4 linked regions of the Oreochromis niloticus genome follow. The protein of the gene in region 3 interacts with the protein of the main gene of each other region in a pairwise test. Links are inferred from orthologs where the notes say so. Each region holds a gene or a part of one and is shown on either strand. Other genes may lie near its edges. The genes, in order: rcn1, kctd15b, atxn1a and srebf1.

Region 1 (7,602 bases), on a different chromosome or scaffold from region 3:
TCTCTGTCTGCTGCCAGGTCCCTGTTCAGATCAGCTGCTTTAAACCTCCTCTCATCACGAGGGAGCATCTTCTTGAAGCTGAACTGGTCCGTGGCATCTTCAAATTCTTCCGGGTTGGCTAAGAGGGTGAAAAAAAAAACATGACTAAAAAATGAATCGGGTTTAATAGCCATGTAATACTTTAGTACTAAAAGAACAAAACAAAAATACATCATGTGTCTTGAACTAGTGAGCCCATACCGAGGTAGTATCCATATGTGGCTTGTTTGTACTCATCCCAGGAAATCTTATTGTCCTTATTCAGGTCATAATCAGTCCACACCTTGGCCACATTCTCATATACATAACGCTTCTGTACGCGCTTTATCCAAGCCTTGAGTTCAGCTGTGGTGATGTAGCCATCTGCATCGCTGTCTATTCGGTCCACAATTTTTCTGTTGGGCAGGTGCAAAGAGAGATATTAGTGATACATCAACTAAATCTTATAGGCATACATAGGCTACATACAGTGCTGTGCAAAAGTATTGACTCCGCCCCTCATTTCTTTATATTTTGGGTGAAAATATTGATTTATTGAAATGTGCAAAAAATTTGCTGAAATTCAATATAGAAGGCAAAAACTGAGGTTTTACAATTTAACAAGTTTAAAAGTCAGTATTTTGTATGGCAGTGTTTATTCTTCTTTAAGCAGGCTTCAGGGCCAATTCTCCAGGCTTCTTGAAGAACAGTCAAAGCTCTTATTTGGATGTTGGCTGCTTTTTGTAATGTTCTCTGTCAAGATGATCTCACACAGCTTCAGTAGTGTTGAAGTCCGGGCTCTGGGGAGACCAGTCCATGACTGATAATGTTAATGTGTGTTTTTCAGTCCAGGTATGCTTTAACCGCATTGGCATTGTGTTTGGGATCATTGCTATACTGAAAAATGAAGTCTTGCTGATAAGATGCTTTTCAGATGGTATTAGATGGTGGATCAAAATCTAATGGTATTTTTCTGCATCAGTAATTCTGTTAAATTTGACCAGATCCCCCAAACCACCGGCTGAAATGCAAACCCAAACCTTGACAAGTGCAGATTTTACTTATTATTTTGTTTTATTTGAATATTTTTTCCTTTCTGTGTTGTAAAGTGACAGTACGTAAAGTTGATAGAGCCTCCACTGTTTTACAGATGGCTGTAGATACTTAATGTTACACCTTTCTCCTGACCTCTTCTTCACACACACAACAATTTAAACCCAAAATTTCAAATTTGGATCTCTCTGCTTTTTCTCCCCATTTAATCTTCTTCACAGCAACCCTTCCACTGAGACCACTTCTGATGAGGCTTTCAGTGAACAACAGATGGAGCAACTAAAGAGAGATTTGTCTCTCTGGTCCTGCATCAAGTCTTCGGTTGATTTTTGTCCTTTTTCTTAAGAATATAACTTTCAGATACTGTTCATCTGCTGTAATTAGTCCTTTATAGACCTGCTACTTCCTTTTTATTGTTCACCAACTGTCCACTTCCTGCTTTTTAACGCTTGAATGATTCATGTTAGTGTTAAGTGATTTAAGAAACAAAAAATAAAAATGAAAATGAAGGAATGGACTAAAAATTAGGGGGGAAAACAAAATAGATGTCCAAAGAAAAACTTTGAAAGACTTTCAGACTAGATAACTACCGCTTAAAACCAATTAAATGTAAGAAGGAAAGCATAAAAGTAAAATATAGAGTGACTGAAGACTTTAGCAATGAGATACTGATTAATGACAGGCTGGATTAATAATTAATAAATAAATAATTTCCTACAAGTAATGTGGATTCATAGAGACGATTTCTGAGGGAGGGGCAGGCAAACCCAGTTTAGAAGGCTAAAAACTGCAGTGCATCTGTGGTGTATTCTTAGACCTGGGCTGCCACGTTGTGATATTACAGGGGTCCTCCCTCTTTCAAGACAACAAGCAGGAGTTTTCTGGACTAACTTGCGTCACATGGTGCCAACTTGTCACTGCAGCAGTGGCAGAAGAAAAAAAAACGTTTAATACTCGAAGAATCCTGCAAACAGAACCACGTGGCACACTGAGTACACTGCGTACACTGCAGTTTTGTACAGAATACCTACGTGCAGAACTTCGGCGATTAAACTTTCCTTAAACTTCACCCCTATAAATGAATCTTTAATAGTCTGCAGAAATCTTAATTACAAATACTCATTAAGTGTACAGTGTGTGCAAACAGTGTGGGTGCCATAATAAAGCAGGAGTGCTTTCACAGGCACATGTTCCCATGTTTTTAAATGTTTAATGTTCTTAGTCTGAACAGTTACACGCAACGGGCTTCAGCGGCAGAGTGTGTGATTTTAAAAAACAAACAAACAAACAAACAAACAAACAAACACAAAAGCTCCAACCTGCCCTTCGAAATCCCACCAAGCCTGTCACTAACTTCACTTTCAGATACCAAAAATCAGCTTATGTGGCAGAGTGCTGGTAGCATTTCCTTACCCGAGCCTGTCCTTGCTCTCTTCAGGGGTGAGCTGATCAAATGTTTTGGCCTCCTCTTTGCCCAGAAAGGCCTCATGGTCATACTGGAAGCTCTTATTGTCTTCGTGGGCTTGCCTGCTTAGCTCTGGCTCATGATGAACTCTCTCTTTTCTCAGCGTCGGCTTGGTCTGCGCCACAGTGGCGCAGAGGAGCACAGCGCACACGAAGCTGAAGCTGAAGCCGGCCATCAGTCTGTGTTCAACCTGACTTCTCTCAGAGGGCACAGCGATCTCCAAAACGGGCCTACAACACCACAACACACAATGATCAAGCGGCTGTGTAGCTCCTTTCACTGCTGGACCGCTAAACGCCGACTTTTTGTCCTGTCTTCAGCGGCGGAGCGCAACAATGTTGCAGCAATGTTCAAACACCCACGAAACGCAACCTGCGCCCGCAAACAGGTCCTCCATGAACACCTACGGTCCTCACAGTTTTAGGCAATCCTGTCCCTTATCCCAATGAAAGGGATGCAACCAAACAGGGATTTCCTGCCGCCTTACGTACAGCCATTCACAGGCTCCGTTTCATGCAGGCCCCAGCCTCAACCACTGCCAGAATCCCCCCCATTGGTCCACGGGATGTCGGTAACACGAGAGGGATTCGGGCGCCACGTTGCAAGCTGACGAACGACCAGAGCAGGAGAGTCAACGTGGGTCAGTGAGCAACCAGTGAGAACGGGAGTAACACACACAGTCTTAGGGAACTGTTTAAGTGTTTTGTGCCAACTTGTAATAAGGTGCATTTGAAATGAAAAGGCTGTGTGCACAGCTACGCGGATGTACAGGGATATAAATAAACCATTGCTGTCTAAAAAAATCATCAGTCACAAGTATGCAGCTCGCTGCTACAGTGTAAAACGTTTAAGGTAAAACATGCTGGAACTGAGTTCAGTGTTTGATGTTTGTTTGAGGGTAAAGTTCCTTGAATCCGTAAAATATACTATAGTAGTTTACGAGTACTGCTTACTGTATTTAGATGGATTATTCTATATGTTAGCTGCTATAGAACTGAATGAATAACTGTTGAATCATGACACAGTTAAAGTCTTGTTAAGATAACAGCTGTGGAATATCTTTGAATGTGTGTGTGTGTGTGTGTGTGTGTTAGTGTGTCTGAGAGTGCTGGAGAAAATGAAGGAAGGGAGGGTGACTAGTGGGAATGTTATGTACTGGCCAGGCACTATATTTAGTAATAAAAAGACAACATAGCCTATCAGATGTTGAAACTGGGACATTTAAAAAAATGCTGATTCTAACATGCTTTCAGAAACATATTTCTAAAGACTTAAGCATCTGGAAGCTGAGGAGGCCAATCGCTGTAGTTTGAGCTGCTTGCTTTTGTTACATTTTGTATTTCATAATCTCCTAAACGTTTTCAATGGGTGAATGACAGGCAGGCCGGTTCAGCATCCACTGTCTTTTACTCTTGTAATCATGTGCAGAACGTGGTTTGGCAAGGTGTTGCCTGAAAAAGACAAAGCCTGGCAGCATATGTTGTTCCAAAACCTGATTTATTGTTCATCAGTGATAATCCCTTCATAGATGTGTGTGTCACTCATGCCATGTGCACTAATGTATCCCCTTAATGTCCTTGATTTTTAAACTGCTTTCTGGAAACGAGTTGGATGATTAGCTGAGCGGATGTAGCCTCTATTATTTCCTGTGTTGGGTAGAGAAGATATGTATGTATGTATGTATGTACACTACAAGTCAAAAGTTTGGACACGCCTTGTGATTTATTTGTTTTTCATTATTTTCACAGCTATTTACATTGTAGATTCTCACTGAAGGCATTAAAACTATTAATGAACACATATGGAATTATGTAGTAGTAAACAAAAAATTGTGAAGTAACTAAAGACCTGTTTTATATTTTACATTCTTCAAAATAGCCACCCTTTGCTTTGATTACTGCTTTTCACACTCTTGGCGTTCTCACGATGAGCTTCATGAGGTCGTCACTTGAAATGGTTTTCCAACAGTCTTGAAGGAGTTCTCAGAGATGCTGAGCAATTGTTGGCCCTATTGCCTTGACTCTGCGGTCCATCTCATCCCAAACCATCTCAATTGGGTTTAGGTCAGGTGACTGTGGAGGCCAGGCCATCTGGTGCAGCACTGGGATACTGGCCCCAAAGAAATGCTTTGGGGGCTAACTCTCCTTCTTGGTTAAATAGCCCTTACACTGCCTGGAGGTATGTTTGGGGTCAAATGCAAACTGGATGGGATGGCATGTCGCTGCAGGATGCTGTGGTAGCCATGCTGGTTCAGTGTGCCTTCAGTTTTGAATAAATCCCCAACAGTGTCACCAGCGAAGCATCCCCACACCATCACACCTCCTCCACCATGCTTCACGGTGGGAACCATGCACATAGAGACCATCCGATCACCTTTTCTGCGTCGCACAAAGACACGGCGGGTGGAACCAAAGATCTCAAATTTGGACTCATGAGACCAAAGTACAGATTTCTACTGTAATGTCCGTACTTGTGTTTCTTGGCCCAAACAAATCTTTTCTGCTTGCTGCTTTTCCTTAGTAGTGGCTTCTTAGCAGCTATTTGACCATAAAAGGCCTGATTCGCATGATCTCCTCTGAACAGTTGATGTAGAGATGTGTCTGCTACTGGAACTCTGTGTGGCATTTATCTGGGCTCTAATCTGAGGTGCTGTTAACTTGCGAATTCTGAGGCTGGTGACTCAGATGAATTTATCCTCAGCAGCGGAGGTGACTCCTTCCTTTCCAGGGGTGGTCCTCATGTGAGCCAGTTTTGTCGTAGTGCTTGATGGTTTTTGTGACTACACTTCAAAGTTTTAGCAATTTTCTGGACTGACTGACCTTCAGTTCTCAAAGTAATGATGGACTGTCGTTTCTCTTTACTTAGCTGATTGGTTCTCGCCATAATATGAATTTTAACAGTTGTCAAATAGTGTTAAATACTAATACTCCTAGAGTATTTAAAAGTAGAATGGGAAGGAGAGCCTTCAGTTTTCAGGCCCCTCTTTCAGGCTGCCGGGTTATTCCCATGATGCATTTAGTTTTTCCTTTGCAGTCACCTTTCTCACTCACTATGTGTTAACAGACCTCTCTGCATTGAATCATACTTGTTATTAATCTCTGTCTCTCTTCCACAGCATGTCTTTTATCCTGTCTTGCTTCTCTCACCCCAACCGGTCGCAGCAGATGGCCCCGCCCCTCCCTGAGCCTGGTTCTGCCGGAGGTTTCTTCCTGTTAAAAGGGAGTTTTTCCTTCCCACTGTCGCCAAAGTGCTTGCTCATAGGGGGTCATATGATTGTTGGGTTTTTCTCTGTATCTATTATTGTAGGATCTACTGTACAATATAAAGCGCCTTGAGGCGACCGTTGTTGTGATTTGGCGCTATATAAATAAAATTGAATTCAATTGAATTCAAATAGGTTTGGCAGCTGTGTACCAACCTGACTTCTGCACAACACAACTTTCCGAAGACTGTTATATTGTATAACATATCGCATATGTCACATATTGTATATCATACCACATATCAGCCAGTGGTGTTGGAGATTTTGTCAAATCAATGGATTTGACATCCATCCATCCATGGATAGCCCTCCCCAGAGCCTGGACCTCAACATTATTGAGGCACTGTGGGATCATCTTGACCGAGAAGGGAACAAAAGGCAGCCAACATCCAAAGATGAGCTTTGAGTGTCCTTCAAGAAGCCTGGAGAACTATTAATGAAGACTACTTCAACAAATGACAAGAAAGCTTCTGTATGAGAGCCCAGGATATGTTGAAGAACACTCTGTTATAAAGAAGTGTGAGGCTGATTCAAGACTTTTGCACAGCACTGTAGATTTTAGTATTTACTTAAATTAGTTTAGGTTTTAGTCATTTTAATTAAAGTAGTTTTTAAGTTAATTTTTTTCAGTTTAAGAAATAAAGAGCATGGGTTTTGGATCATAAACAATATCTGAGAATGTGGAAAGTTAAAAGATTGCTTCAACTACAGATAACTTCATAAGTCAATGCGAGAGTGTGAAGTCATCCAGTTTAGTTAAGTCCTTGCGATATAATGTTTCGAGATAGAGGAAGAGTTGGTGTAGGGAGGGGTGTGTGATCACATCCACGTGAAGAAAACGAAAAGAATCACATTACTGAGCCCCATCTCAACATGAGGTAATATGGAAGAACAGACTCTGTACCCTGGAAACAACTTGCTGACACTGCCATGCCTAATCCTCCTTTGTGGGCAGGAGAAACATGTATTTTGCCATTCATCATTAGCATAATAAGCCAGCACATGGCACTTTGCTGTTTTGCATAAACAGTACACCCCAGTTTATGATTATAAAGAGGCCCTGGGGCCAACTAGCCTCTTTATTCAATTAATGAATAGTTAATGTATTTAAATTAGTCCTGCCTGGTCAATTTGAATCAGTGTGCTGTGCAGACATGAAGAAATACAAATGTGTTTTCCCAAAGAGATGCATTTCCTAAAGATACATATGGATATACAAGAATACAGGATTTTTTATCTTGGTGATGATGATGGTCTTAGCAGGATTGATAGTTGGACCCTTTCATTAACTTTAGATCACACAACAGGGGCAGATTTTTAGGTGTTACCTGTATGCCGAAGACTATACTCTCAAACAATGGTAGCATGGCTGAACAACAGCGGGCATTAACATGTTGGAAGGAGAAAGTGGATGGCAAGAGTGGCTTTCAACATGAATATTTCACCAAGGAATAGAACAGGGAGGGGGCTGCAGCTACGGGCGTGTTCAGTTAACCATGAGATTGCACACACTGCAGAATGCATTTGGTTAATGTAATTAAGAAAACCCTATGGTGGGAGACACAGAGCATTAGTGTCCAGAAAATTCAGTTCAGTTATGGCCTCTTTTTGCCCTGCGCTTACAGACACACACTGCATTTATCAGATTTTTGATCTTCTTTTGGTGCGACAACAGCTTTGTTAGTTTGATTAAGCAACAGCAATTAATCAGAGCATCTGAATAATTAAAGGCTTATAAATAACTGAGATCGTGCACAATGGAAGTGAGTTTGACAGTAAATATAATTGTAGCTCTTTTTTTTAA
Region 2 (7,356 bases), on a different chromosome or scaffold from region 3:
CACATTTTAAACAAAAGCAGCAAGAGACAGATTAAACTACTCTTTAGTTTGCTCATATTTCTTAAAGTTGATTTAAAAAAATAAAAAATAGATAAGCTATGAATTAATACATTAAGATCAGCAGTGATGCTAGAGGCAGGGACTGATCTTACCTTGAATCTGGGTACTTGGTGAGAGTTGCCAGGCTGCTAGTGTACATGTGTCCCCCGACATCAATGTGCACCGGGGCGTTCGCCTTGGTCAGCTGAGCCGGCAGAGGGATCCCCTGAGCGGCCAGAGGAGAGACCGGGGACCGGGTCAGAGACAGCCTTGACATGCTTCTTCCCTCCTGAAAGCAAGTATAGAGAAAAGCCATGGGAATAAAGGTAAAGAAGAAATAAAAAAAATCAGCAGAGTGCTCCTAAACAGGGAAGTAGATAGTATCCTTTCTGAATGGTATCAGATCACTTCCATGTCTGTCTGGTCGCATATTTAGCCTGGAAATTATTGCCACCGCTCTAATTAAGTATGTTTGCATCTTTTCATGCAGCACCGCAGGCGAGGATAGGAGGATGCTTATTAGAATCGGGGTGAGAGAGAGAGAGAGAGAGAGAGAGAGAGAGAGAGAGAGAGAGACAGAAGGAGATAGACAGATAGAAAAAGAGAGGGGGAGAGGGAGACAGGGTGAGGGGGGAGAGAGAGGAATGCTAGGTGTCAGCCTCCAGGGGAATAAAATAAACTGCTGCTGCAATATTCTAATTAAAGGTCGCCTTATGTGTTAGACGTGATGCGCCCAGACACACCAACCACCAATCTAAGAGTAAGGAAAGCTCGACGGGGAGGGAGCTTTCAACTTTTCTTCTAACACGCACACGCATCCATTCAGTACACAAAAAGATTAAGAGTGTCATGTGTCCGCAGATAGTTTGAGGCACACGGGCCTCATGTACTGCACAAAAACGCACCAGATTTCAGTCGAAACCAGGAGAAGTATCATGTTACTTGCAGGCCAAACTATTGTGTATCTTATTCCGTACTTGGTGTAGCTCAGTGTCGTTGATTAACCATTAAAATAATCTTACAAGTAAAGTACATGGCACTAGAGCCTACTGTATACAGACTGTGGGTGCACATATTTGGGACTGGGGCTTACTGGGAGCACGCCGGAGCACTCCGAGATCAGTGCAGAGCTGAATTAGATTATCTGATGAAATGTTTGACAAAATATTTTCAATTCGATACGCCGTCATTTGATTCCGCACTGCTTCAGGAGGAGCGGAGGAGGCGTTTATATCCAACCTACCTACTGGTGCGTAATTTGTTTGCCAACAGCGGCAGGTGAACCACAAAACCTCAGTATGGCCACATTTCAGTGTTACTATTATCTGTTACGAAGCATATTGTACATCACAGTGGCTGAGTTTATTATTTTTTTTTTAAAGGAAAAGTAAACAAAGATATACTGTTCTTAGTTCATTTTCTTTAATAATCACAAAATAAAGGTCACCGTTTCTCCACTTTATCACCACTAGTCCGTGCCTACAGGCTCTGGTTGAAATACAGACCTTCCATTTGAGGAAAAATCTAAAACAATAATAGGAGCTTCATAGTACACATGTGTGTGTTTAAACAGACTGATATAATAAAATCCCAGCTTTCACTAAATTATGTGAACTGATCAGTTTTCTGTTGCACATATGGGCTGTTGCACTGTCATTACTGATAGACGGGAGACCTTTTGCCAAAGTCCAGATCATCCCCGCGGCTCTGAGAGAAATGCCAGTGGGCACACTATGAGACAGGAGACTTTTTTATATATAGACCTCCTCACAGCAGTATCGTATTCGTTTAATGCGATTACAAGAAAACGGGATTACATTTCAAAACCCAGGAACAGAGAAAAAACTTATAGAGACTTAAGAAGTTTAGGGCACATACACAAAGACACACACGGACACCCATCGGTCTGTCCCATCGCGGGTATCTTCCTCGTTCCTACTTATCCACCATTTAAGCAATAAATTCCCTACACTGATATACAATGAAGAACAAATGTGGAAAATAAATATAGAAATCTTCTTACTATCCCGATCACATTCTCATTGATTTCTGTTGTTCCCAACTCCCTTGTTCCCTATCACATACACACAAACAGTGAGTGACACACGTAGACACACAACACATAAATTCCTTCACAAAATCACAGCAGCTACAGAGACTCAACTTTCCTGCTTTGAATTGCTTTCTTGCTGCTTCCCTTCGCTGACCCCTGCTCAGACATACTGCTGTCGAGCTCACACTTAATGACAGCGACATAAACCTGACGACTGATCTTTAAAACAACCACGAAAAAGGACACAGAAATCTCTGAAAAAGAAACGGTGCGATACAACACTCCCTCCGCAGGAACACCACAAGCCCGTGCTCTGCCTTTAATCTACCAAATGCTCAACATGGCGTCTTATTGCTGCTGTACAATTAAAAGCATAATCCCGACACGTGTAATACACGACCCGATTGATAAAACACACACGTGTTAACTATAGGGTACAGTCTGGCAGAAAAGACAGAAAATACACTTTGGTCGAGCAGTAGCCCTATGCAGGACTCTCCAGCACAGTTCAACTGTCCTTCCCGAAAACTGTACAGCCTAAGCCTACACTGTGCGTAAAAAACATTGGATTCTGTAATATTAAATTGTCACCCTACCGTTTCAAACATTGTAGGGAGTCCGGAGGAAATCCGTGCCGGCGGTCAGTCCCAGCTGCTGTCCGCGTAACCCCCAAAAATTTTCAAATATTTTCTCCAAATGCCCCCGAGTTTGTCACCGAACTACACCGCCGTCCAGTTCCAATACCTATACTGCCGCACGGAAAAGCCAAGTATTTTTTCTGTATCCCACACAAAACTGCTTTTAAAAGACGCTAGGTTGTGGCCAGGATCGACTGCAAAGAGTCTCTGTGGCTTTAAAGGCTCAATTGCAAGGCTGGCTCGACCTGTCCTCACCAAGCTTCTTTGTACCAAAGCGCACAGGAAGCGTCCTTACCTTGAACATAGATGAGATGATCTCCTTCCCCTTCTCTGCTCTTATTTGGATACGCGTAAAATGTGCGCTCTTATTGGAATCCTGCTTCGTATTTCGGCTTCTTGTCTGCCTTTTTGCCTAAATGAAACTGCCCCTGTGGTTTGTTATGAGAAGAAGAAAGCCAATAATCCTTCTCTAAATAACAGAGCGGAGCTAAAAAAGAAAAATCTTGCTCCGGGCTGCCCAAGCGCCTCTGGGCCAGGGATTAGGCTACAATTAGCTCAACTACACTCTCTCACCCAGGCAATTTTCTCAAGGAAGAAAACGTGATACCCTCTATTCCCGAAATTATGACTACATAGATATAATAACTTATCTTATTTTTTCCGGCAAAAAGTAGACCGATCCCCTTAACGGTGTGAAGTTGTGATTTCGAGGGGGTAGGAAACCTAACAGGCAACTGTCTGTCGCTCAATAGATTTAGAGCAGCAAAAAGCAGATTTTAATCATTGTCATTTCGTCTGATGTAATAGTTCCCCAGGCTGTCCAGCTAGTAGGATTACATTTCCATCTCCATCTCCAAGCTAAATTTAAAGTTTAAAGCGGGCGGGCTGCCATAGTCCTTTACTCAGGCAACATATAATAAAGACGCAATAACTTGTTGATAAAGTCTCAGCAGGAAAAAATATGTTGAAAATGAAGCGATATCCTTGAACCAATATCTTTCATGCCGTGATTTTTCCCCCGTGTTCCCGCTCTCTATTCCTCTCCCTCTCTCTCTTGCCTTAATGTCTGGAGTTGTAACGCCAAATTTCCTGCAGGCCATTAAAATCAAATGACGTCTATGGACATGCATGCATGCTGCTGCAGAAAGCGCCCTCACAACCTGCCTGCAGCCAAATGCGCCATTTCAATTATAGCGCAGGGCTTAGATGGAGATATCTGCCCAGAACACCCCCCTCTCTACTCAACAATGAAAGGAGGCAGCCTCCAGACTTTTGGAAAATAAGATTGTGCCTGATTATTGTTATTTTTCAACAGAGAAAGACACAATGCAAGTGATGAAGCGCTAAAGTGTTGCGCCACTTCAGCACAAAGTAAAAGGGGGAAGAAGGAGTCAAGCAGGTGCTCACGCCAAGGAAACTATTATTTATTTATTTGCATGTTTGTTTATTTGCGGGTAAATAACTGTGAATAATTGATGCAACATCGAGCCCAGTAATTACTCTGTACCAGAATCGTGAGAGGGGTGTAATATTCGTTTCTTGATATTTGGCGCCAACCAGTGTAGGAACTTATTATTGGTCCACAGGAAATACATCAATTCACTCACTATTTTGGAGCCTCGTTTATCCCGAATAGTATTAACATTCTTTTTAAGCACATAGATTTCCAAAGCAATATCACTATGATACTCTAACATTTTCTTATCTTATATATATATATATATATATATATATATATATATATATATATATATATATATATATATGTGTGTGTGTGTGTGTGTGTGTGTGTGTGTGTGTGTATAACAAAGCGAGAGAGAGAGAGACAGAGACAGATTTATAGAAAATCGGCATAAAATAACGGATATTTAAATATAAAATTAAAAAGTGCTGGTGATATTTGACAGCAAGCTGATGGATGTGTGAGAATGCGCCTCTCCTTGAAGCAAGTGAAGTCTTTATAATTAGAGAGACCTCAGCGTGCCTCAAGCGCTCCCTTCTTCCCCTCTGGCACAGATTTGTTGCTTCCAGAGGTACAGACTGGAGGGAAAGCGGGATTTTTTTTCTCATTAAAGGAAACAAGCCCGGAGTTAGTTCAATTACATGAAGTATGCAGGGATGTTGTAAATTTAAAGATTTAAATAGCTTACAAAGTGGCCCCGGGCCCCATCAGTTAATTTCCTTAATTTATGGATTTTATCGGTGTCTATGTGGAAGGGAAGAAGTAGGTCATCTTGAGGATTTGCATGCAGCTTTGAGATTTCCCAAATCTAAACATCTGTCCTCCTGACCAGCACCTCAGCAAGTGAGAAGACAGACAGGTTTCCATTTCTATTTTGCTAACCGTCCAAAAAACTGTCCCTACGATTAATTTTTTTTTCTTCGTTTCCAGGGTTAAAAAATGTAGATCTGATTGTACTATTTGACCCAGGTAACGGGATTATAGATGTTTGGTCTCCCTGATGCAGGCACAGAGAGAGATAACAGCTCTGTTCTAGTTTTCTTTAAAGGATTATTCCACATAATTTCTCCATTATTTTAAATGTTTACTTATGTAAAACTACAAAATGAACATAGATTTTTGCTCAAATCTGAGTCAAGATGTTTATGCTGCAACGTGAAGCGTTCAACTGCATACATCAGTCAAAATTTCAAAGTCTCCTTCAGACATATGTTAATGAAGTATATGAATTAATGCATGACCCCGAGAAGAATAACTTTGCCTCTAGGTTCAAATGCAAGGTGCTATTAGTTATGTTGCCTAAAGTGGCACAGAGGACAATGCTGTGCCTTTCTCCAGCTTTATCACAAGAGGATTATATATGATTTTTAAAGCTTTTTCTACTATATATTAATCACAGCATCAACAGTGTATTGTATGCTTTATGCCTCTGAGGGATAAATTGTACTATTTTTTTTATTAAAAACAATTTATTCCACCTTCTTTTTTGTGGTACAGACACATGCTTACCTTTTTTTTTTAACATTTATTTTTTGCTGCAAGCAGGTCAGATATCTGACACCAATGAATGAGCGCATGCTGGTATTTTTTTTTTTTAATCTGGAGGATATACTTATTACTCAAATGAAAGATGGAACATGGCACCATCTGCTGGTTAGGTGTAACACTGTGAACAAAAAACCCTTTTCAATGAATACTCTGCTGCATACTGATGAGCTTAACTATTATTAAATCCTTTATTTAAACATGCTGTCTCATTGAGATCAAGACATCGTTTTCAACAGAAACCTGTGTATAAAAAACATATTCAATTATGACATCAACTTTTTTCTTTTAATCCAGCCTCCCCCCCAAAAACATAGGGTTGGATTTGATACTAGCATTGGGGTCAGAGGATCTCAGAGGATTAAAAAAAGCATGTACAAGGGATCTTACTGTGGGATTTGCAAATTTTGGTATTGATCTAAAATCAAGCAAATACAGGGTCAGTATTGCCGATTCTGATACTTTTAAGCTATAAAGGCAGCTTATCAAGGGGAGAGCCACGTGTCATGATTCATAAGATGAATCATCAATTTGCAAATTCAGAACACGCTTGAATGACCACTAATTCAAATTGATTTTTTACTTTCCCCAATACTTATTTAACACAGAACACAACTTTCACCTTTTATGGATTTTAAAGCTGGGTTTTTTGGATACCTGGAATGTAAATGTGCCCGTCACTAAATCACTTTGGATCATCTTCTGTTGTTCAAATGTGCTATAAGCTACAAATCAAACAGATGTGACTGGAACACATCTATTTGATTTATAGCTCCTATTTGACATATAACTTTGATTTAAAGTTCAGACATTTTTCATAGTGCATGTTTGAGGTAAAAACAAATAAATAAACAGAATTCAGCGGGCAATAAACAAATAAAGTATCTATCCTAACTTGTCAGTATCAATTCAATACCAATGCCAGTGTTGGTATTAATACTTTCAATATCTGGGTCTATCCAGCCACCTCTAGTTTTTGCATAAACATAAATTTTACCTTTGAAAAATGTTCAAATAAAGCCAGAGAATGAAGCTTCATAGTCTTCTGTAGCTCAATCCATTTGTAGGTAGCAAAGTAATGAAAAAATTCCTTGAAGACGTTTCACCTCTCATCCAAGAAGTTTCTACAGAAGCTCCTCGGATGAGAGGTGAAACATCTTCAAGGAAACTTACAGAAGTCCAGAGGCTTTTCTTTCCAAGCTCCTTAGACTACGATGACCTGGATGACTGAGAACCATCACAGACGTAATGAAAAATAGTTTTTCCAGGTTCACTGTGAATAACAGGTAATGTTAGCACATTCTGTGACCTGAAATTGCATGTAACCGAGCAATTCCACAGTAGAGCTTTGTAAATAAACACCACACACTGCCACTTTTTTCTGTTTCCTAAGGTTGACCATCCTACTTCTTCATAGAAGAGTAAGAAAGGCCTACATCAATTTATCATTGGTAAATTACAATGCACTGTGATGCAAGAATCAAGATGCTTCAAGGTGGATGAAGAAACATCAATATAAACAATATCACCATAAGAAATATAAATATCATTTTCTTGATTGGTGTTTCAAAAGGGCTAATGAACTGTTCACTGATACATTTCGATGATCGCATGCGCTT
Region 3 (7,752 bases):
GCCACTCTACCTAAATCACTACAACAGCCTCTCCTTACCTCCCTATCTTCACTCTCTACCCTTTACATTAACACCTCCCTTCTGCTCAAGCATTCATAACGCATCTATCTCCCAGCCTGTTTTCACACCTGAACACCAGAGTCTGGAGAATCAGGTGAGCACACTGGCAGCAGTTGCTCATTTTCACAGGTAGCACAGAGCAGGAGACAGACCCGTTCATAAGCGTTCTTACCACCAGAAACATTCTGCGTGGTTCGGGCAAAGCTGCTGCCTGTGGAACGTGCAGGAGACGGGACAAAAGGCAACCAGTTGCTCGCGCTGCACGCTGTCAGCCATCATACAGCGGTGGATATTTGCGTGCTAAAAATGCACCGCGGTGGATTAACATCTATAAAGCTTCAGTCATGAACAGTTCCTGGACGCCTCTAGTCGACCTCGCTAGCAGAGAAATTTATTTCCATTAAAAAGACCTTTCCATGGCATCCCACAGGGATTAACACCGGATCCCAATCACTTCATTATCCACATCCTTCCCATCATTATACATGAATCCATCCCTTGTTAAAGATTTGAAGCTCAGCTGTGTGTTTCCGAGTACCTCTTGGATACGACCCCTTCCTCTCTTCTCCAACCTGCTGTATTTAATACCAGTCACACATAAAAAATACATAATGGTTTCAGTATGGTTAATAAAGACTTAATGGCCATGTTGTTAAGTGCAAATACAACAGCCAATCACAAGCCACCAACTCAATGCGTTGATATGCGTGCTTAAAAGGGTCTGACCGAATACCAGTACCTAAAAAAATGGCTGGCCAGTGTCGGTTATGTATTTTTTTACAGAAGAGAGACAAAAGTCAAACTAGTGAGCATTTTTTCTTCACACTTTTCCTGCTGTCTTTCTGAATAAATAAACAATCCGAATTATTTATTATTAAACATTAAAAGGTATTAAAAAGTAACTCCACACTGATCTCTGAATACTTTTCCACACCATGTACCACATGAAGGTGTTTCTAAATGTGTGTTTCACTGCACTGAAACAAATGTTGGAAGAGCTTGTATATGGGATTTATGGCAACCACGGGATCAGATTTCTTTCAGTACTTGGATAACAACAATCATGGGCAGTGCAGATAAAATCTGAAACATGTGTTTACAGGCAAGAGTCAAAGCAAGCAAGGAATTTAATTAATGGGTCACTCATACATTTGTGCTCGCATCCTCCACGGAGGACAGAAGTACTTGAACTAGCGACAGCACTAATAGATATGTCCAACACCATAAAAGTACTAACATCGGAGCCGACGGGCTGCACTGACTCTATAGGTTCACTCTGCAAGTGTTTGCTAACACACAGTGGCTGCAAGTGAGTGAATTACAAGAACCATGGAATAAAACAGAAAGTGTGTTTGGGGTTTTTTTTATTGAAAGCTGCAGATTCAAATTTGTTGGTGTTGTAATATTTTATATTTCTTTCAGTAACACGTTTAAAAAGTAGCAAAACAAGTCTTTTAGATAGAAAGCAAGTTTAACCACGATCACAGCTATCTGCTGAGATATCTGTGTGTTGAAAGCACTCTATGGGGTGTCCAGTCATTCATTGCTTAAGGCTACAGGACGGGCTTCAAAGATGAGAAATGACATAATCAACAAGTAATGCAAACCCACTTCTGTTTTTTCGTGTTTTTCCTATAAATTGCACAGACATCATCAGAAAAGAGGAACACTTAAGCATGCAGCTGGTGGAAAGAAGTGCAGCTTTTTTCTTTCTTTTTCTTTTTTTAATCTTGAGCATTCACTTTGTCAATCAGTCTGCTGCCATTAGGAATGCTCGTTAAAAAATTATAGTGCGAGTGAAAGCATTGGCTACCACTTGGGACGCATAGCCTACCCTGCTCTGAGGTGTAAACAGAGTAAAAATAGCTTGCTATCACAGGCTTCCCTACAGTCCCGTTATATAATGGTCCATGCTAGGATGAATGACATCACGGGTAGTCCTGCAATCACAAACCGTATGTCCTTTACAACCAGCTGACAATGTAAAACACTGTGTAGTATTACGTGCGCAACAATAAATGCTTCCTACTAATCGAAACATGCAAAACACCTGCGGTTACGCTTTTTTTTAAATTGTAGAAATCATGTGGACTGTGGTTAGTAGTTCGCCTCCTTTCGTGTGGAGAAAACACTTCCGCGATAGTGAAACGTAGATTTAAAAAAAATGTAACGCTTTCCCGTGACAGTCCCTGTCAGTAAGGCAAGAGTTCAGAAGAAGACGTATGCGGCCCGAAGCGACATTATTCGGACATGTCCGACAAAGAAATAGTCTGCAAAGAGGAAATGTTTTGAGCCGAGGTCGAGTGGCGCAGTTACTGGAAGTACAGCGCCTGCCCGACTCCCAACTCACCCGGCGGACGCGCTCCTCGCTCGGTCAGAATCCAGCCGAACCTCCGCCCCTCTTTCGTCCCATTTAAACAACACTTTGCGTTCACGTTCCCAAATGACAAGTATACCCACCCACAGCCCGCGTGGCCGTGTACTGTGTGGTCACTTAAAAATAGGTCAGAGTGCGAAGTAAACATTTTCTAAGGCTTTGAAGTAAACCAGAGCTTCAGCGCCACCCTTCCCAGTTCTTCCAGCCATTTTTTTTAATTTAGCCAGCTCCAAAAGAGAAGAGTGACAACGTGAAAGCGGTGACAGGTTGGCGAAAGCGGCTCTGTGGAAATAGTTTTGTGCGACTTACTGCGGGGTGTAGCGGGCTGCTGAGTTTGTGTCTCTCCTTGTTGCCAGGGCTCCCCTGCTCTGCTCCGGCGCTGACGGTGGAAAGCGTCTCCCCTCCTAATGATGTCTGCAGCGCTCGGCTAATAGCTCTCTGCCCCCACCTTCAGAGAGAGAGAGAGAGAGAGCGAGGGAGGGAGGGCGAGAGAGAAGTTCAAAACTGGAGCAGTTTGTAAACTACTCATGCAAAAATATGAGAGCTCGGAGCACAGAAAGCAGTCACAGAGATACAAGAGAGGTTCGCTGACAGTGCCAGAGTGTGGGAATACACAGTATTCCTTTATTGGCACGATTGTTTTACTCACAGTGGAGATTGGGCTGCTTTTTCAGGAGCAAATGCAAAAGCGCGCTGTGGGAGAGGAAGAATGGTTAATATTAATATTATTATTTCTTTTTAACTCAGCCTCACTCAAAAAGTGGCTTCTCAGCAGTGTAAACACTTTATCTACAATACAACCCTGCACAGCTCAACACTGAGTTTATATAACTCAAGTAAAATTCTGAGGCATTTATACTTAAAGCTTAAAATAAGGGGGTCTCGACAAATATGGATCTATTAATCAATACTTCCGTGTCAAAATGATCCCACACTGCTTCAATAATGTTGACTGATTGTCCTCCATTGTTTGTTTTTTCTAACCAGGTATGTATTTATTGCATTGGCAGTGTGTTTGGGATCACTGTCATGATGAGAAATGAAGCTGTTGCCAACCAGCTGATTTTCAAATGGTATTGCTTGGTGGAATAAAATCTGATGGCACTTTCCCTTCTCTCAGAATGACTCCTTGACAGCCTCCCGTCCACGGAGACCATTTCTGATGAGGCTTTAGTGAACAGTAAATGGATCAGCTGAAGGGCCCATTCCTTAAGGACAGACTGTTCATCTGCTGTAGATTGTTTTTAGGCCTGACACTTCTTCTTTTGTCCACCGCCTGCCCAGTTTCCTCAGATTTTTTTCAAGGACACAGTGCACACCATTTCAAGACATGCCAGATTTTCAGCAAATAGCTCTTCGAGGTGTAAAAATACTGTTTCCTGTCTGTCACACTTTGTTAGCTTAGGTATTTTTCATAGATTCAACAAAAGAAATGGGAACAAATTATGTGTTTTTCCAGCAGCCTGCTAGTAACAAAGTGCCTAGAGACAGAATTTAACGTTTAATTCATAGGTCAGTGTTAAGTGCGTACAAGGACTGAAAATGAGTAAAAACAAAAAAGCAGCCAGTATCTAATGTGGCTCATAACTTTTGCACAGCGCTGGCCAAAAACATTTTTACAAAGTCGTAGTGGCCTTGACCTTTTCCACCTAAAGCTAATCCTTTCATCCCTCAGTGCATGTGAACTTCTGTGCCAGACGTCCAGAGACACCGCCTTCACATAGAGAGGAAGGACAGATGGACAGCCAGAAAACAGGATGCCTCGTAGCATAGCTGTCACCAGCAAGGAGGCATAACGAGTCATAAAGTAGATCCACCTCCACTGGCTAAAATATCAAAAGGCTGCAGGTCACTGCTTCAACCATTTAAATCTAATAATGTCATATGTATTATGTAAAACATATGTAATTATAATGTGACACGTTGTGCACTTTTCCTGTGCTTTTGGTTAGTATATTGGTACATCTGTGTATTATGTAATCTAGTGTTACTAATTTGAATAGATGATATTTTTTATTAGCCCATGCAGGGGAACAAAAGTGTCACAGCAGCAAAACAAAGTACATAAAGTGTGATAAATGAAGAAGAGAACATAAAAGTTAATGAATATTATCTGAACACAAGCCACAAAGCATATTAGGAGTCTGAATGAATAAATATAACACGCAGCACGCCTGTGGATCCTGGATGCAATTTAGCAAAAACTCAAGATTCACTTCAGATATTTGTTCTTATTGTTTATGGTACGAGGTCAGTCCTGTTTTCAGTGTGACTTGCTGCAAAAAAACATGTCATCCTTGGATTTGACTGCACCGGGAAACTTCTGCTTTTTCTCAGAAGAGAAGAAGGTCAGGGTATGTTTTTTTTTTAAAGCCAGAGAGTTCAGGATCTGTTCAGCTGAAGGCAGTCACTGACAGTCAGCTGACAGTGACATGATGGAACGTCTCAGCTGCCGACAGCGACTGTTTTCACATACACACGCATAGCTACAAACATAAACACAATGATGGAGTGATGCTAGAAAACATGCTTATGAAAGATGTTTATGCACTCGTGTCCCGATTAACTCTAATTCACTTTAAGGGGGCTAAATTCAATTCGCTCTAGTTCAAAGTTAATTATTATCAGTTATAATCATGCGTAAAGCATGTGTCAAATAAGCACAAAAACTAAGCTGTGCCACTGAAATAAGCTATCAAGATAAAAGAAATAAACACCCGCTTAACCCTCTCCTCTTTTTTGTGTTTTTATTATCTTGACCTCTGTGACCTCTCCCAGATTTCCAATGTGACAACAAGTGCCTTTGCCTCTTCGTCAGAGGAGAATGCAACCTGACACTGCCCGAGAGCCGAAGGGTGCACGAGGCTGCGGAGTGACAGACGATCAGGGATCTGTCCCACTCCCTGCGAGTCACTCAATAAGTGGCCTATTGTCCAGCACTCTATTGTGCTCTTGTCACATGCATCCCAAACAAAGAGACAGAGAGGTAGGTTGCCCTGTGTGCTAGAGGGCTAGCATTACATTCATGAAGAGATGCGGCGAGTTGCTGAATGGACTTTGATATTTAAGTGTAGGCAGGGAATGAAGAGCTTCATTTAAAAAAAACTAAAAAAAACATTTAATATCCAGACCACATGTGTGCCATTTGATCCTGGAAGCCCTCGTAGTCCAAGTAGTGAGGGAAATAGTGCACTAACATGCAGAAGGCCATCAAAACTGTGGAAGTGATCTGCAACTTTGAGACATAAAGGAGACTTAAATACGTTGAGATTTGACTGATTGTTGTCATTACTACATCAGCCAGATGTGTGATATGTGCACTTTTGTGCTAACCTACCACCCATAATGCACCTCGTAGTTTCAGTTTCACGCCGTGTTGCTAAAATAGAACTTCCTATAATAACAAATGTGTAAGGCCAGAGTCAAGCGGAAGCAGTAAGTTGACCGCACGTTTCAAAATAGATCACCAGTTTAATAAAAATACTTCCTCAGTGTCTCTCGAGCTCACAGGCCTGCACATACGCAAGCATGTACTTGCACCTTCTTGTTCCCCTCTGCATGTACTCACAGGTTCACACCTACTCGCTCTTACAACGTGCCGATGTAATCTTTACATATAGGATGCTAAACATCTTCTGCAGACAGTTCAGCAGCCCTCTGTTTGACATTGCCTCCCTTTGAATGGTTTGCACCGTTCAGAGCACAACGTGACTCCATAGCAGTGTGTGTGTAGTGCAGGGCCATTGCGTGCTTGAGGAATAAATCAAAAACTACTCCCATGGGAGGAGCAGATTCTTCGAGGGTTGGGTTCCTCCCTAGAGATGTACCTGTGTTCTTTGTAGGAGGTGTGAACAGTATACACTCGGGTACAATGAAGTGTGCCAGGTGGGGCGTGTATGGAAACAGCCCTTGAACATAGAGAGTGACATCCTTAGTACCTGCATAGTAAATGAGTCATACATAAAAATAATAAGCTTTAACGTATTTCAGCTCCAAAACAGACAAAGTATGCACAAATAAGGGATTTGACAGTTTATCTGGCAGATAAATAAATAACACTCTGAGCTTAAAGCAGGCACTGAGGGAGATATATATAATTAATCATCACCAGTCTTTAAAGGCAGCTTTACAGCGATTTTCAAAGATTTTAATGGTCACGGACATTTCTTTTTTTGGACAGCAGAGAGTGACAGAGAAGCAGCGTGTCTGAAGTGCATGCTACTTTACACACTACAATCACCTATTGAGGGCTGCAGCTCTTCAGGCATCGTGGTATTGCATTTTCCTTATTTGTGTATGTGGACCTCTGCATCGTCGTGTCAGCTCTTCACATTCTCTGCAAAAAACCAATACAGACTTTTTTTTAGCAGAACAGCAGCGCTCCTCCTGTATGCTCTGAAAGCAGCTGTCACTTCAGATTTCAAGGCTGCGCTCTGTCCAAGTCCCCTCTCTGTGCACAGAGGGGAGGTGGTGTGTTTCATAGCTACTCACAGCTCCCCCCATTGTTCAAATGTGGAAGTGGTTATTGGTTTACAGTGTTTCCCTACATGCTGTCATGTCACATACTGCAGCATACAGTTGCGTAAATGCAGAATTATCCACAGCTTTGCTTGTAATTACACAAAATAAACACCTTTTAGACAATTTTGCTTTGTAACTAGTAAACTGGTTCCTGCATTTTTTCACATACATCCCACAATCCTGGTTAGGAGTGAGCTAAGATCCTCCTTCACAGTCACTTCCATTATTGCAATCATTTTTACATTACTTTAATGAAGTGTTGTGGAGTCTGGAAAATAATTATTTGATCCCCTGCTAAATTTCTAAGTTTGCTTACTTACAACAAAATGAACAGTCTCTAATCAACCAAAAATCGAGAAAAAAGACATGACATAAAAGGTTTGTCATTGAGTGAAAAAGTATTTGATCCACTACAACACTGCCAGAATTCTGGCTCCCACAGACTGACTATCAGTCAGTTACAGATACTCCCAATCTCAACCCATGACATGTATAAAGCAGGCTTGTCCACATTGTGGATTTCTTCCACTCGAACCTCTCCACCACCATGGAGAGGACCAAAGACCTGTTAAAGGACATCAGGGAGAAGATATCACACCTAGACAAGGCTTGAACGGGCTACAAGACCATCAGCAAGAAGCTTGTTGAGAAGGTGACGACTGTTGGTGCGATTATTCAGAGATGTAAGAAGTATAAAATGAATCAGTCAACGTTGATTTGGAGCTCCATGCAAGATCTCGCTTCATGGGATGGTCATGAGAAAGGTGGTGTGTTAGGCCAAAAATGCAGCTGGC
Region 4 (7,990 bases), on a different chromosome or scaffold from region 3:
GTGCCTCTCGACATTCCCTGTGCTTTCAGCCTTTCCCAACCAATCAATCTCTTAATCACGTTCAAGCGATTTGCTAATTAACTAATGATGCGGAATAATTAGCACGGCTGTGTGTGACATTAGTCGGCAGCTGTTAAGCCATGTCAGCAGTACAGAGTTAATGAGAACAATACACAGGCCGGGAAGTCCTCTTCTTATACAGAGGAGTGCTCGGCAGCAGTTCGTTGCACATGATAAAACAATAATGGCACAGAATCAAGAGAGGTTGAGTGTGTCTTTCAAGCATTTTTTTATTATTATTATTGTTTTTCTTTTTATCTTTACTCCTGAGCCTCTGGTGATTCTTGTTTTTGTGTGTGTGCGTGTGTTACGTTGTTTTTGTTGTCGTGTGGCTTTGTTGCTACCCCTCGTTGTTGTCCATGGCTTTGCTCCATAGATCCCAGTATCGCAGTCCTCTGTCATGGATGACATAGAGGAGTGGCTCTGTACTGACGTGGTGAGATTTTAATTTTTCATTTTTTTTTAACCTTAATTCATATTTTTGTTTTTCTACCCTCTCTTTCTCCCTCTTTTCCACCCTTAAAGCACTTTTCATCCAACCATTTCTTATAACTGCATACATTTGACCTTGGTTTTCTTTTTACTTAAAATCTTTACCTTAATCATTCACCTTAATCATTTCCAGCAATCACTTACATAACTGTTTGCCATGAGGTGAGACATATGTGGAAACAGTGCTAATGATAATTAACCTAAAGCAGCTGCAATGGTCTGCTTTAACTTGTGCATGTGGTGGTTGTGGTGGGGCTCTAGAAGGTTTCTCGTTGTGGAAAATGTGGGGAGGATGCATGACAGACGGATCCTTCATGAGCCACTCTGTTTGGAGTTTGTGGGAACTTTACAGGCAGCTGACTTGTGCCGCTTGTGTTGTTGATTTTACACTCACATTAATTAACTCCGTTCTTGATAGTTTTCTATAGAAATTTGTGTCTTATGTCATGTTTTTTCTTCTTCTTCTTCTTAATAGAAAGGTGATGCTGCTGAAGAAGGGGTAACTAGTGAAGGTATAGTCAGTTAATTCACACCTATGGGTGTGTTCTGTTAGCTCAAATGTGTGTGGGAATGATTGAGAGTCTTAACACTGTGACCCTCAGCTTCCATGTTTCTGACAAATCAATTTGTTTCTTTCAGAATTTGATAAGTTCCTGGAGGAGCGAGCTAAGGCTGCAGACACTCTGCCATCTCCCCCAGGACCTAACCCTGCTAACCTCTCCCACCCCGCCCGTGCCCCGAGTGGCTCCCATAAGAAGACTGAACGGACGGAAGATGCCCTCTTTGCCTTGTAGACTGTTCTCAGAGGACCTCGGTTTCTCTCCAGGGCATCTAAAGGTCTTGGCCCAAAATGACCCCACCCGCCACCCTCCAAAACAATCCTCCTAGTCCTATTTCATTGCTGACTGGCATTGGTGTAGCAAGTGATCTCCACCTCCTCGTTGTTATCTTGCCAGAGTGTCGCTCTAACCATCAGAGGTCCAACAAGTTTACTGCGCATTACCGCGTTATGTTTTACTGTATATGGATGTATTAATCTGTCAGTGTGGGATGTACTGCTCGCAGCCCTGCATCTCATTCCATAACATGCCACCAAAGGAGGACAACTTCACTTAACTGTCGTGTGGTTTAAAAATGTGACACATGACCGCGAGATTACTGGGAAATTTCTCTGAAGGTCTACTCACAGAGTCAGTATGGAAGCATTTAACTAGGAGTATATTGTGTTATTTTACTACATTTCAGCTAAATGCTTATTTATGCATTAATTGTTTTATTTTTTCTGTATTATATACTGATCGATCAGTGCATTTGTTAAGAGTTGTAGATTTCTAGTTATGCTTAATACTGAGATATGTGTGGCAGGGCAGCACCTCTTATTACCCAGTTTGCTTAAGGCACTGTAATGAACAGTTTCATGTTAGCAGGCTAATTTTGCAAACTAGGATTATAATATTAGCTAATCTCTTTAAAATGTGTATGCCAGCATTCCTCTAACCAAAGGGAATTAAGAATAATAAAAATCAAAAAATGTACTAGTTAGGATTCACTCTTATCTCGTATCTATTTCAGATAGCTAAGGGGAAGGAAGATGCCCATTGAAAAGCTACAAGAAGTTAATGTAGAAAAGTGCCGCAAACTGCAAACACTTTAAGCCATTCCAAAGAATATTGATGCTTTAATGACCAACTAGTTCTTCATTTTACCAATTGAAAAATAGTGACATTCACATGCTCAAAATAAGTTGCTGGATTGTCAAAATTTTCCTTCCCCCTCCACCGCCGCGTTAATGTCTGTGCACTTTGAAGCAAAAAAAAAAAAATCTGTATTTTGTCCTTTTGTGTTTACAAGATGCTTACTATTTTTCTAGGGGATGGGAAATGATCTTAAGAATGAGTTCATTTTGCACATAACTTTTCTAACTATGTAATTAGTGCGCTTGTTTGCCTAACAAGTGGATAGATGGACCATTGGACTGTTGGAAATTACAGAAAGATGCAACACAGAAATAAAGATTTAAATGTCAGCTTAGCACTGGCAACATAATCATCTACAAGACAAGTGTGCTGTGGTAAGAGATGTATTCACACAGGCAAATCTTCACATACTCCATAGTATTTAATCAATATACCTCAAAATACAGAAACTGTGGTTTCTGTAAAAAATCTATTGGCTCATAATAATATCAGGAACACTGAAAGGTTTAAGTATTATTTTGTTTTCCCCTTCTGTATTTTTATAATTCATGGTTAAAAAACAAAAAAGGGAAACGAACAACTGATGTTTTTGAGGCCGAGGTTGAAGCGTGCGGGAAGCAAGCATGATTTTACTTTCTTTCTGATTATGTGCAGTCAAACACATTACACTTTATTTCCTGTGCATTTTCAACCTGCTATGATTCATCTGCTCTCATTGGAGCTGTTGCCAAGCATTTCTATGACCGACTGATTTCAGCAAAGTTGCTCTGCCGAGAAAGGTTTTGTCTTTGATCTGAGGCAAAATAGAAAATCCGTCTTATTTGCAGCTCTTTTTCCAGTTCACTTTAGCACTGCTCTGCACTTCAAAAACATTTTCTTTTTCTCCTTTCAGTCCATTTAAGACCAAAAGCCTTGTTAATCAGAGGCAGCCCATTTGCACCTCAGTTGTAAAGCTTCTTGCTAACATAGATGCAAAGGTGACATTAAAAATGTATTTGTGTAATCAATGTATTTTAGATTAAAATAATAATAATAATAATGAGCTTTAATTTTCTTTCATGCTGTATGGTTACACTTGGTTTTGAGGGTTTATTATCATTGCCAGATAGCAGATATAAAAACATCTACCACGCAAGTTGAACAAGGACGATTACTAAAAATGTAACAGGAGATTCTTTAAAGGGAACTTTGACAGTTTTCTGTTTGTGTGTTCTGTATCTTTGCATCTGTAACAGAGTGTATTGTGTTAACTTGCTCTTATGAAGCTTAAGTCCTGGTTGCAACATGTATTCCTCTAAATTCTGGCTATCTTTAAAGTGGTAACTGAATGTCTTTAATACCCGCGAAGTGGGATATTTAAGCTTGTGTTTTGTGGACATGGAATTGAGGCTTGTTTTCTATCGGTGGGTGCTCCATGTCTCTCTGGCTGTGCCGTCTGCTGCCATTACTAATGGTCAGATTTGTATTTGACCTAATGCACGTATGTAACTGCCCAATAAAACACTAGCAGTGTGTGACCTCTACCTCATAACTGTTTGTGGTTATTTTACACTTAGGGGATCTGTGACTAGTCTCTCTTTTCTCATGCACATGCTGATGCAACCCAGGCTCAATCTTGTACTGTATTGGTCATTCATTGTGAAATGAGCCTTTCACCTTCTCGCATGTGTTTGTTTATGGATATTTGCACAACATAGATCCTTAAAAGAATCATTTTTTCCTTCCTTTACCTGAGGACCAAGACTAGACAACTTTACAAACTCCAGCAAACAAATGGACAAGACTTATTGTTACACACTTGACCACCAACCATGCTGGACTTTATATAATCTTACCCAACTTTACTGACAACTTACCAGTGCTACTCTAGGTCACTGACCTATTTTCCTACAATACCGTTGTGGGGTTCTACTTTTGTGTTACTATAACAGTGCGTTACACATAGACATTGTGAAACACCCACATTGCCTGTTTTTACGTTACTAATTATTATAGGAGAGAGAGAAAAAAATGTAATGTAAACCACCATTACGAAGAGTTGCAGGAACTGTTTTTGTTAAAATACATGTGCTCATTTTTTTATGTCCTTCTGGCTACATGTAGTTGTGCAGTTTATTTTCCTCCTGCTGTTCCTGCTTCCATCATTCCAGGAGCGAAACACATGATGTAATCGCTAGACCCATAGATGCAACGTCAGATCACCCCACTCTGATTCTGAGCTTCTCATTGGACGGTTTTACTGGTTCTACAGGAGGAGCCGCTAATTCGAGTCAAACAAGCTTGGCTGTCGCTAAGCGCACGCCCCACACGACTATGATTGGCTATTGGTGGCAAGCCCACAATAAACATGTCCATGCTGTATACAAAGAGAAAAAAAAATATTTATTTATAATAAACATTATAAAAGATATTCAGAACTGTATTAAGCTGCTCTGGAATCAGAACTTAACTCGTTTATGCTGTAGTTAGCTATTTTTTCATACCCATCAAATGTAACCATATAAATATTTTCTAGCCACGGCATCAGTTCTTCGATTACTGCAATTATTTGTTGTTTTTTGTACATTATCGGATTTTTGTGTGTAAATTGTGTTAGATCGTGGCCGTATACTCCACATGCCCTCACTCATTTACTCAAACAATCAAAACAAGCCTGAGAAACAGGGACGTGGGAATCTAGTTCAAACAAGGGTGATTGGCTGGCGCAACTGTCAATCATCATCGGTTGGATGGGTTTCTCCGGCTACCGCTGTAAGCACGTTAGTAGTGAATGAGCGTCGGTGTTTGGCTTGGTTTGACAAGTTTCCCAGGATGATGATGGGGCTAGTAGCGAGCAGTTAGTTGACACAAAAGTTACAAAAATAAGAAAAGTTGCAGCTCGCGTTGCGTGTGTGACGAAAGGACAGGGATCTTGGTCCTTTTGTCAAATGTAAGGACTCAGAAGTTTCCGATTTCTCCGACAGTCAGTCAAGTCTACACTGGAAAGCCCAGGCACGACAGTAAAGATGAACAGCCTGTCTTTTGACGATCATTCGTTGGATAATCTGGATCCAACACTGTCGCTTAACGACCCCAGTGATATTGACACGGCCCTCCTAAGCGACATTGATGGTAAGAAAATATAATGGCTGCTGCTGGCTTAAAACAGTTGTGTTTGCTAAAACCGGTAACACCGTACGTGTTATCATTCCTTTTCGTATCAATTCTTTAAGTGTTCTGCATGTAATAACCACACTAACAACATCACTTACAACGACATTCGATACAAAGACACCTTTAAAAAAATAAAAAAGCTTTTAAAAGCTGAGAGCTAGCTTTCATTATCCACTGTTAGCTACATGCTAACTATCGGTGAGCAGTTAGCCGGAGGTGATATTTGGGATGTTTTGTTAGTAATTTATAACGATGATTCTTGCAATATCAGAAGTCTTCTGTGTGTCTTACTGTGCAATAGAAAAATAGAAGCGCATTTCATGAGGCGAATATGTGAAGCTAACGTACAGCTAGCTTCGTGTGCGCCCCGCCCCCAGCGTGCTCCATAGACCGGGGTTACTGTCGTTCATTCCTCTTTTTTGGGTTCACGGAGCCTCACTTGACCGATTTGACAAATATAATGCATTTATGTATGCCAAATTAATCGGTTGAAAACTAATGTAACCATGTGCTCTGTGGACGACATTATTTTTTTCTCGCTAATATAGTGCTATCCACGTGCAGTTTTTTGCAAAAACAAACAGCATATATAGTCTGATTCATATATAAAATTCGTGCAACAATTTAAGCCTCCCATCGAAATAACAAGAGTATTTCGAGTAGTGTTAATATTTAGAGTTTTCTGGAAATTTTCCTAAATTGGCCAGTATGTGTTTTATGATAGGGGTCGACGTGTAAATAAGATAACACGCACTGCGTAAACAGTATTCATATCCTGCGGCCGTGCTCTCCATCTCCCTGACTTTGACCGACAGTAACCCTCTGTGACACTGCTCGATGGTAACCTCACACTCATTGCCACAGGCAGCTCTCCCTCTCTTTTCCTGTCTTGGGCTGATCGGCATAGCAAGTCTCCGAGATGCGCTCTGATTGGCCAAGAGCGATCACCTCATACACAACACTGCTTCACAAATCCAGGCTGCTGGTTTTTTTCTTTTTTGCACTGCAGACACAACATGAACTCAGAATCACTTAACAGATAAATTAAACGCGGTGAACTGTGCTCGTAAAATGCTGTAAAAATTATTTCAGTGTCTTATGTCTTTCAAGAGCACACTGCTTCCTAGAATTAAAAAATGATTAGTGAACACGTGCCATCTCACTTTGTTCATGTAAAGTTTTTTGTCAGTTTTAAATCTTTGTAATATAGCAAATCATCTGGAAAAGATACATATTAAAATGTTTTATATCTTTTAGATCATGCTAATGAAAACCTACAAGTCCATATGTGCAGAAGCACAAATTAAGATTAATAATTCATTAATAATATACCACTTGGATTCTTGGACCTACAGCTGCACGCACATGATGAATGGCTTGATAAACTGAAAGTGTGAAATGTACTGTACCCGGTATTTCTTGTTGTGTTTGGCAGTCTTTCTTGTTAAGTGTGTTTTTAAACTGCGTAAGACACCCTATCTCCTGCTTAGGATGTTTTAAAGTAGTTTTCTAGTAATTTATTGAGTGTTAATGGAAAATGTGATGAAACAAAACAAAATTTAGGTTTTAGCAATTTTAAACCGCTGTAGTCATAAGTACATGTGATGTACTACATTTACAGTCATGTGAAAAAGAATGGACTCTATAAAAGCAGAAGTTTTTTTTGGTTTGCAGTACACGGATTTGTGGAAGTCCAAATTCACCTCACAGTCAGAGAAACCTCAAAAAAACACATGAGCTATATAATCTACAGCACATTAAATTTTAACATTAATGACAGTAAAGTTAGAAAGAGACTGAACACAAATATGGGTTCAATTTTAAAAAAACACATGCAGGAGCAAAGTTGCAGCTAAACAAACCAGAACACTTTTAGAGCAATAATTCATAATGCACAACATCACACAGCATATCTGTATAAACACCTAATATCAACTGTTAAGCATAGCGATGGAGTAGTGATGACTTGGGGTTGTTTTTGCGGCCATAGGACTCGGGAACCCTGCATTGATTGAGTCGACCATGAACTCCTCTGTATTTCAAAGTATCCTAGAGTTAAGTGTGAGGCCATCTGTCCTATAGCTGATGCTTGGCCGAAATTGTGTCATGCAACAGGACAATGATCCCAAGCACAGCAGTAAATGTACAAGATTGTGACTGAAAAAGGAAACAGTCAAGGTCTTGCAGTGACCCAGTTGAGGTCCAGACATCAATGCGGTAAGAAAATGCCGCGGGGAGACTTTAAAAGAGCTGTGCATAAATGAATGCCTGCAAAGGTCTGAACTAAAGCAAACGCTGTTAAGAAGAGCGGGCCAAAATTCCACCACAGCGATGTGAGAGACTGATAAAGTCAAATGGAAAACAGTTACTTCAAGTTATTATTGCTGCTAAAGTTGGTTTGATAATATGATGACTCATTAGTTAAACGTATTTTTTTACAGGACTGCATAAAGCCCGCTAAAACCTTCTTTTTGCGACTTTGTTTGTTGTCATTTAGCATTTTTACCGAATACCAACACACACTTCAAGGGTTTGCTCCTTTCTATTTGAGCATCATATTGGCCTTATCCATTTTTATGCATTCCCCC

The links.
Region 1: the proteins of atxn1a (region 3) and rcn1 interact in binary tests that used the Homo sapiens proteins (3 or more experiments, as listed by UniProt). The link is inferred for Oreochromis niloticus from reciprocal best matches to the Homo sapiens genes ATXN1 and RCN1.
Region 2: the proteins of atxn1a (region 3) and kctd15b interact in binary tests that used the Homo sapiens proteins (3 or more experiments, as listed by UniProt). The link is inferred for Oreochromis niloticus from reciprocal best matches to the Homo sapiens genes ATXN1 and KCTD15.
Region 4: the proteins of atxn1a (region 3) and srebf1 interact in binary tests that used the Homo sapiens proteins (3 or more experiments, as listed by UniProt). The link is inferred for Oreochromis niloticus from reciprocal best matches to the Homo sapiens genes ATXN1 and SREBF1.

The regions. Positions count from the first base shown.
Region 1 is NC_031965.2:24,276,968-24,284,569, forward strand, and holds the start of rcn1 (reticulocalbin-1), read right to left. Parts: upstream 3,020-7,602; 5' UTR 2,712-3,019; coding exon 2,485-2,711; intron 435-2,484; coding exon 241-434; intron 119-240; coding exon 1-118. UniProt on the Homo sapiens protein: May regulate calcium-dependent activities in the endoplasmic reticulum lumen or post-ER compartment.
Region 2 is NC_031965.2:31,958,725-31,966,080, forward strand, and holds the start of kctd15b (BTB/POZ domain-containing protein kctd15), read right to left. Parts: upstream 3,017-7,356; 5' UTR 2,701-3,016; coding exon 2,689-2,700; intron 329-2,688; coding exon 153-328; intron 1-152. UniProt on the Homo sapiens protein: During embryonic development, it is involved in neural crest formation. Inhibits AP2 transcriptional activity by interaction with its activation domain.
Region 3 is NC_031985.2:20,491,299-20,499,050, forward strand, and holds the start of atxn1a (ataxin-1a), read right to left. Parts: upstream 3,010-7,752; 5' UTR 2,747-3,009; intron 1-2,746. UniProt on the Homo sapiens protein: Chromatin-binding factor that repress Notch signaling in the absence of Notch intracellular domain by acting as a CBF1 corepressor. Binds to the HEY promoter and might assist, along with NCOR2, RBPJ-mediated repression. Binds RNA in vitro.
Region 4 is NC_031969.2:18,055,474-18,063,463, reverse strand, and holds the start of srebf1 (sterol regulatory element-binding protein 1), read left to right. Parts: upstream 1-4,990; 5' UTR 4,991-5,254; coding exon 5,255-5,360; intron 5,361-7,990. Other genes in the region: tom1l2a (TOM1-like protein 2), read left to right, coding at 437-496, 1,028-1,064, 1,192-1,346.